2 linked regions of the Struthio camelus genome follow. The protein of the gene in region 1 binds, or shares a complex with, the protein of each later gene. Links are inferred from orthologs where the notes say so. Each region holds a gene or a part of one and is shown in the gene's direction. Other genes may lie near its edges. The genes, in order: ACVR2B and GDF2.

The links.
Region 2: the proteins of ACVR2B (region 1) and GDF2 are in contact, whole or in part, in a crystal structure (PDB 4FAO), measured with the Homo sapiens proteins. The link is inferred for Struthio camelus from reciprocal best matches to the Homo sapiens genes ACVR2B and GDF2. Residues at the interface, in NP_001097.2 of Homo sapiens: Asn35, Glu39, Cys49, Glu50, Glu52, Lys55, Leu57, Tyr60, Ser62, Arg64, Val73, Lys74, Cys77, Trp78, Leu79, Asp81, Phe82, Asn83, Glu94, Gln98, Val99, Phe101; in NP_057288.1 of Homo sapiens: Arg333, Ile346, Ala347, Pro348, Lys349, Glu350, Tyr351, Glu352, Lys397, Ser399, Pro400, Ile401, Ser402, Val403, Leu404, Lys406, Gly410, Val411, Pro412, Thr413, Leu414, Tyr416, His417.

The regions. Positions count from the first base shown.
Region 1 is NC_090943.1:7,504,880-7,508,790, reverse strand, and holds the start of ACVR2B (activin receptor type-2B), read left to right. Parts: upstream 1-1,056; 5' UTR 1,057-1,445; coding exon 1,446-1,497; intron 1,498-3,911. UniProt on the Homo sapiens protein: Transmembrane serine/threonine kinase activin type-2 receptor forming an activin receptor complex with activin type-1 serine/threonine kinase receptors (ACVR1, ACVR1B or ACVR1c).
Region 2 is NC_090948.1:22,147,250-22,151,160, forward strand, and holds the start of GDF2 (growth/differentiation factor 2), read left to right. Parts: upstream 1-1,299; 5' UTR 1,300-3,911. UniProt on the Homo sapiens protein: Potent circulating inhibitor of angiogenesis. Signals through the type I activin receptor ACVRL1 but not other Alks. Signaling through SMAD1 in endothelial cells requires TGF-beta coreceptor endoglin/ENG.

The DNA.
Region 1 (3,911 bases):
CTCCCCGGTCCGAGCATGCCTCTTGAGCGCCGGCGCAGCAGCCGCTCAGGCGCCGCGGGTGCCCCTTGCGCTGCCGCCCCGCAGGGCGAAGGGCCCTCGTTGCCTGCGGCTGTGCGCGGCGCTGCTGGGCCAGAAGCCGTGAACACACTGGCGCTTGCACCAGCCTCACGGCAGAGGATACAAACACACAGATGCACGCGCACGTATATATCCTCCTATATACACGCATATATATAAAACATCTTATTATGCATATATAGTAGCCTCCTATATATAAATAGCCTCTCATATATATATTTTTTTTCCTCGCAAGGAATAGATGGGTTAATTCCATTCTCTCTTGCTCGGGGGGGGGGGGTGGTCCCGGGAAGCCCCCCTTGCGCGGGCAGCGGCGGCGGCGGGGGGGGCTCCGCGGGCGCGACGGGCAGCGCCGCCGCCGCCCCGCTCAGCGGCCGCCGAGGCGCGGAGCCCCCGCGCCGCTCCTCCCTCTCCCCCCCTCCCCTCCAGCCCTCTTTGTATCAAACATCCGGGTTTCCCCCGCTGGCTCCGCTGTGGCTTCTCCCTTTTTTTAGAAGCCATTTTGGACTCGGTTCAGGTTTTTTTTTTTTTTAAATTAAAAAAAAAAAACAACCCTCCCCTTCCCCCTCCCTTTATATTTTTTTCCGCTTTTTTTTTTCCCCACTCCTCCTTCCTTCCACCTCCCCCCCCCAAAAAAAAAAAAAACAAACCCGTACATGGCAACTCCCGCCGCAGCCCGCTGCTCCCGGGCCGCCCCCCCCCCCCCCCCCGCCGCCTCGCTGCGCGCCCCGCGCAGCCCGCGATGCCGCGGCCCCCCGCTGCGCGCCTCGCTCCGCCGGCCCTTGCCTGCCGCGCAGCCGCCGCCGCCGCCGCCGCCTCGCAAAGTTTCGCTGTGCGGCGCGCAGCTTGCGCGCGCGGGGTGAGGGGGGGGAGAGGCGCGGGGAGGAGGAGGGGGGAGGAAGGCGCGCCCGCGTGTGTGCGCGCTCGCCCCTTGCTGCTGCTGCTGCTGGGGGAGCCGGAGGGGCTGGGCCGGGGCGGGGAGGGGGAGGAGGAGGAGGAGGGGGAGGGGGAGGAGGCGGCGGTGCGGTGCGGTGCACGCCGCGCTCCCAGCACAAAAGCCCGGGCGAAGAAACTCTTGGAAAGCGGCGAGGCAAAGCCGGGGCCGGCCGGGCGCTGCTCCTCCGCACTGGATACATTTTGCAACTGCGAAGGAATTAAATCCGATTTTGTAGGAATTTTTTTTTTTTTAAATCCCTATTTCTTCCTCCCCCTCCCCCCTTTTTTTAAAAAAAAAAAAGAAAAAAGAGAGGACAGCCTTTTTTTCATCCCCCTTCTTTCACTCGCTCGAGCAATTATACATATATATATATATATTTTTTTTTTCCTTGGGGATAGAGGGGCACGCAAAAACAAAAAAGTGAAGGAATATGATTGCTTCGTGGCTGACTTTCGCCTTTCTTTGTGGAACTTTCTGCGCAGGTAAGAGCGTTGCTGCGTGTTTACCTACGTTAGCCTCTCGCCGTGCCAAACCGAGCGGGCCGTGCCATTATTGGGAGGCAGCCTGCGAAAAAACGGGGCAAACCGGCGAGCGAGCGGGCGAGCAAACCGAGGAAGGGGGGGGGGGTCACCCCAACTGGTGGGCTCGTTTTAATTTAAATCCCCCCCCCCCCGCCCGCCTTCCCCATACACACACGCTCCCTTTAGTTTTCTTCCTGCTTTACAGGACGAGCTTTCCCGTGCTGCTTTTTGTTCCCTTCAGTCGGGCGGCGTGAATCAATGGCAGTGTAAACACGCCGCGATGTCGAGGAAACTTTGCAAAAACCGGCTGTTCGCTGCTGAGCGCGGGGGCTGCAGGAGAGGCAGCGCGCGGGGGGGGGGGGGGAAGATTTTGGGTGCCCGTGCGCGGGGTGCAGCCTCTTGCGGGGCGGGGGGGGGGGGTGGTGAGGGCTGGCGGCTCGCCGCGTCCTGCGGGGGTGTCACCCCCGGGGGGAAGAAGGACTCCGGCCCCGGCCGGGCGCCCCCCGCCCCCGGAGCGCCCCCATCCCGCCGGGGTTACGACAGGAGTCATTTGGGGACTGGGTCGTGATGTGGGGAGCTGGGAGAAAGTTGTGGTGGTTGTTTGTTTTTTTTTTTTTCTTTTTCAAGGGGGGAGGGCTTTTGTTGCGGGGGGTGCTTAGCTTATTTTATTTTATTTTTTGCTTTTCTTTTTTTCTTTTTTTAATTTTTCAAACCACGCGTTTCACTCGCCCGGCCCTGAACTTCAGCCTGCTGGCTGCGCGTTTCCCTAAGGGGGAGACCCGGGTGCCGGGGTGGGGGGGGAAACAGTTGCTACAAACACCGGGCTGCCCTGGGGAGGGGGGAGCGGGTCGGACCCCCGGGCGCCCCCCCCCCCCCCCTGCCCTGAGCGTGCCCGCAAGGGCCGAAAACGCGGGCGGGCTGCGAAAGCCCCTTCTCTCCCCGACTTTCCCTCCTCTTTCATGTGTGTGTGTGTGTTTCGCCCCCCTCCCCTTTTTACTATTCCCCTGCCAAATCAGAGGTGGTGGTGGTGGTGGGGGGGTATCTCACAGCGCTGCTCCCGGCCCCCTCTTTATGTACCAGTTGCGCGGGGATGGGCGCAGGGCAGCAACTTGTCCCGCTGCGCAGCCGGGGCGCGGAGCGGGGTTGGGGGGGGGGGGGGGGGCTCCGAGCAGCGTTCCCAGGGTGCGGGAGAGATGCTGCAGTCGTGCCCTTTGTAATTTATTTGTCTTCCCTGCGCTCGGCCGGGGGCCGCAGGGGAGTCCCCGGCCGCTGCGCCCCGGGATTTGGCCGGGCTGAGGCGGGGAGGGGGCGCCCGGGGGGCCGCGGCGGCTGGGGCAGCCGGGTGCTGCCGCGCTTCCTTTGTTCCGAGTGCCCATTAAATATGCGCTGCCGCTGCCGGGGGTTTGTCTTGCCGACAATGCCACCCTGTAATTACTATTTTTTTTTTTTTTAAAGCCACGCTCAAATTGGTGGGGTTTATGGAAAGGATGTAGGGTTTAAAAAAAAAAAAAAAAGCTTTGGCCAGCTCAGGCTTTTTTTTTTTTTTTAAATCTAATTGATGGGACACTTGTACGCACAGCTTTGTTTCCATGTGTTGCGAAGGGGTTGTGAGGGATTGTATTTACATACCTGCTCTCGCTCTCCGCGCTGCTATTTGGGAAGGAGCAGGGCTGTGTGTGTGTGTGTGTGTGTGTGTGTGTGTGTGTGTGCCATCAGTATTCGTGGTATTCAGGGTGGCTGTAATCACAACAGCTCTCTTGGCTGGAAAATTCTGTTATGGGCATAAAGGAGATTTATGGTTAATGTATTTTCTTTCTATATATCTTGGAATCCTTTTATCTCGGGTGATTCAATAAAAGAGATGGCTTCCGGGTTTTTGTTTTTGTTTTGGTTTTTTTTTGGTGGTGGTGGTTGTTGTTGTTTTTAACCTGATCCTGTGGTTGTGCATATAGTGGCAGAAATGCAAGTTAGAGGAAAAAACAGTTGCTTTAAAAAAAAAAAAAATTAACCCTGAAAGCTTCTTAAATGTATCATGTTATGAAAGGGATAATCTGATAGGACATACCTACACTGACTTTTTTCCCTCCCCCCGAAAATATAATAAAGAACCCTCAGAAAAAGGATATAATTCTGTTTGTTTGGAAAGGTCCTCACGGATCATTAAATCAGTGCATTAGCAATTCTGCAAATCTCCCCCTCTCCTCTAAAGCCTTTTCCGTGTTTCTGGCGATATTTGTGAGTATTTGTCCATACGATCCTCATTGTCCGTTTTTTTTTTTTTTTTTTCCCCCAAAGCTGTTCGGTCAAGAAACCCCCCCCCCCAATGCCAAATACCCGAAGTTGCAGCGGGTTGCTGGGGGTTCCCAGCGCTGGGC
Region 2 (3,911 bases), on another chromosome or scaffold:
AGCTCGCGTTCCGTTACTGTGACTGTTATTTATCTTTCTCGGTGTTATCGCATGCCAGGACAAACTGACCATGCTCTCTTCCGTTTTCATTAACCTGTTGTACAATAGCATAAGACAACTAGGAGCAGAACAAACTACTGAAGTCTGTGAGGCAGGACAAAGTGCAAGATGCGGAGAGTTTACCCCTCAAGGGGCAGTCTAACCTTTTGCACTATCTTGCCCGATTAAATTTGTGTTGCTTAGGAGAACGATACTATACACACTACCTTCTGATGTGAATGACTTCATTGTGAAGGCTCCTGTCCTGCTAAGGCCCTAGGTAACTTCTGCCACCGATATTCCATTTTTATGTGGTAAAGATTCCCAGCCAGCAGAGGTGTGTAAATGTGGCACTTCTTGCTAAATCACTTAAAATCAAGATTCAGTGTGTACGGACTTATCTGTCTGCACAGCCACTCTGTCCACAGTTCTTCATACTTCCTCCTAAACACCTCTCAATAAGTAGATAGCTCTGAGGCACCTTGTAGTAACTGCCAGTTAGAGAAAGGAAAGAAAGGGCATAGATCCAGGTAGGCATTTCTTCTTCTCCCAAATCACTAGTGATTTGCAAAGGAACTACTGGGACAGAGCTTTGTGTACTGCTGCTATTAAAGATCTCCCTTGCAAGGTCTTGAGTTCTTTTCATAGTTACAGAGTAAACTAAGGCTGAAAGAGTTAATACTAATGCATAAGTTAAAAAGTTCTCAGAAATTCATCATTTATTCCTAGGGTACACCCATAAGTATAAAACTTTCTTAATTTTAAACCATTGTCATTTCTGTCCCTGTGAATATTTACCTTTTCTGCAGGATAGTTTTCCTTCCATTTAACATCAGCTCTGAATAGAATTAGCCTAGTGTAATAGTCCGGTCTATTGCATTTTGTTTTCTTTAGGGAATCTTTTTTTAAATTCCGAACTACTCCTTGAGTATATCGTTGCTTTCCAAGATGTGCTGAGGCAAGCGGTTAGGAAAGAGAGATACCATCCCCTGATCTGTTATAAGGCCTATAGGATGTAAGGGAAAACGCTGCTCCTACACACAATAGGGAACCTATAAAACCCCTAAAGGTGTAGTCCGCATTTAAAAGTATTGTTGGCATAACTATGTCATTTAGCATGGGGAAAGTAAAATTATACCCATAAGTGGCATAGCTATTCCAGCTTCCCCTATTACACAAGCAAGACAATTCTCTTATTTGCAACGTTTATTTTATCTGGAGAAACAATGTAATTTAGAGAAGCAAAATAAACTCTCATGTTTGTTACTAGGTAGGTTTTCTGGTTTAGCTGTACTGGTCAATCCTTTGATGTGGGCAAGGCCTTAACCACTATTTGTTTAGAAGTGGCTATTACTTCCTGGGGCTTTGATATTTAGATGTCTAATCTGTGCCTTTACAGAAGGAACCTTCGCATTTAATTCATTTAATTGTTTTTAAAATGGCACAAATGCAGTTGCAAGACAGTGATATTCTTCTAACAGCTCTTCTGATTCCTAGGAGCATCCTATAAACCGTTCCACTCAATGTGCAAGTTACTAGGTAAAGTTACTATGGACAAACACTTAATTAACAAGTCAGAAAAATTCCACTAAATAATCCTAAAAGAATTGAGGGTATATTAATATGGGATGATTAAAGACGGAAAAAACAGGAAAACAGCTGATACTAACCAGCAAAGTATTATGGAAAACTGTTTTTCTAACACAAAATCTCTTTAATTCTTAGAGGTCCCAGTTTAATTGCTAGAGGTAACTGCAATAGCTAGAATGTACTCAGGTTTTTGTGGAATATTTTGACCCAGCTGTACAAGGGAGCATAATTAAAATCCAGATCACTGGACAATATTCATATATTTGTGTATCACATGAATTAAGAACTGTCTCACTGCCAAATGTCAAAGAGCAGCTTTCAAAAGGGAACTGTCACCGAATAAAGCTGCTCACTGAAGAGTTTCTGCAAAGATGACAGTTGGCCTGAGACTATTTGACAGCTTCATATATGAACTGGAAGTCAATATATAATAACCCAAATAGTATTTGCAGAAGACACTGTTTAGGAGAGAGGTATTTGTATAGAGCACTTGATCAGGCTGCATTCTAGTTAATCAAAATTCATTTTAAGGTAGACAAATGCAGAGCGTGGTACCTAGGCACACGGAATGGAGGCTGTTCCTACCGAACAGGAGACTATGCCCTTGAAAGCCATAATTCTTTAAACAATTTGGGTGGGTATTTTGGACTTACAGCACAATATGAGACTCCAGGGTGATGCTATATAAAGAGAGTTAATGAAGGCATTGAAAAGATAAACAGTAGAGTAGTAAACCACAGAAGGAATGGAGATTTCATTTCTACACGTGGCACTGGTGGAGTGTCACTAGAAAACTATGTATAGCCCTAGAGCTCACCTTTTCAAAAAAATACTGAAACTCTAGAAGAGACACAAAAACAGCAAGAAAAACAGAGAAAATGTCTTATAGCACATGACTTAAAAAATACAATCTCTTTATCTTATCGGAAAGCAAACGGAGAAGCAACTTGATTATCGGGTACAAGTACTCTGATAGGGAGAAAATGCCAGCACTATGGAGCTCCTTAAGCTGGCAGAAAAGTTACAAGAACTAGTGCCTAGAAGGTGAAGCCAGGCACAGTGAAATAGTAAGTGAAGCACCATTTTTTCTAAGTGACAGTGAAAATCTTCTAGAATAAGTGCCAAGAAATGTGAAGAAATCTTCCATTTTTGCAACACCTGCACATAAATCCTAGAGACCTTTACAAAAGTTATGCTTTAGCCAAACAAAAGTAATTGGTAGGAAATTACTTTGGTAGAGGTAGGAAATACAAAGTCCTTGAGAGAAATATAACAATCTTGCTATTCAGGAGATTAGGATCAATGCCAAATAGCCCTTCTAACCTTACACCATAGAAACATAGTTAACCAGAATCTGGGATCCCAGTTGTCACCTGAACAGACACAGGAGTATTTCAGTAGCATGGGCTCACTTTAAGCACTCTGTATGCACTCCTGGAAAACTGGAGAAGAATGGACGAGTGCTGAGACAGGACAAAATCTTTTCTGTATCTTTGCAACGAGGTATTTTTGTAACGTAAGAGCTCATAATACCATTCTAATCTCCTAGCACATACACAATGTGGATTTGGCTGTACTTCCCATCCACCAAAGGAATCAAACTGCAAATGGACAAGCCTGCAAACAACATGAAGCAAACTTGACACAAAACAGATATTTCACTGTGTACAAATAATAGCTCTTTGCTGATAAACGGAGAGAAATTTTAAGGTTGTTTGTATTGTTGTGAGATCACGTCTTGCTGAATCACAGGTCTCCATCAAATGGTTGGGGATTTTGCAATGGTAGGTGAAGGGACTGTAACAGAGATTTGTGAGGTGTTATTCACTAACAGCTGATAGACTAATTTTGTTCTGAACCTCGATTTTCTAGTCTTGATGAAAACAGTGTAATCCTCCACGTCCCTAAGAAAGCTTCTCCCTGGGTTGGCAAGGAAATGGTAAAGGAGTGTAATTAAGCAATGATGACCCCAAAGTGAAATGTGAATTCTTTACAATATACAATGTCTTTCCCACCAGCCATATGTGTTTGTCAGATGTTTATAGAATCTTCATTAACTAAGAGCTTTGCTAGATAACAGAAGCTGAAGCATGGCATCAATGACTCAGATAAGGGCAAGTGTACAACCAATCTGCTTGACAACTGACAAGAGGCTGGGGTTTGAAGCAGACTGCAAAAAGAATTCAAGAAAGTGATTTGCAAAGGGTGCACCAGTTTTTTGCCTTCTATCTACCTCCCTCTGTCTGTAATGAAACAAGAGTTTTAATCACCTACAATTTCAT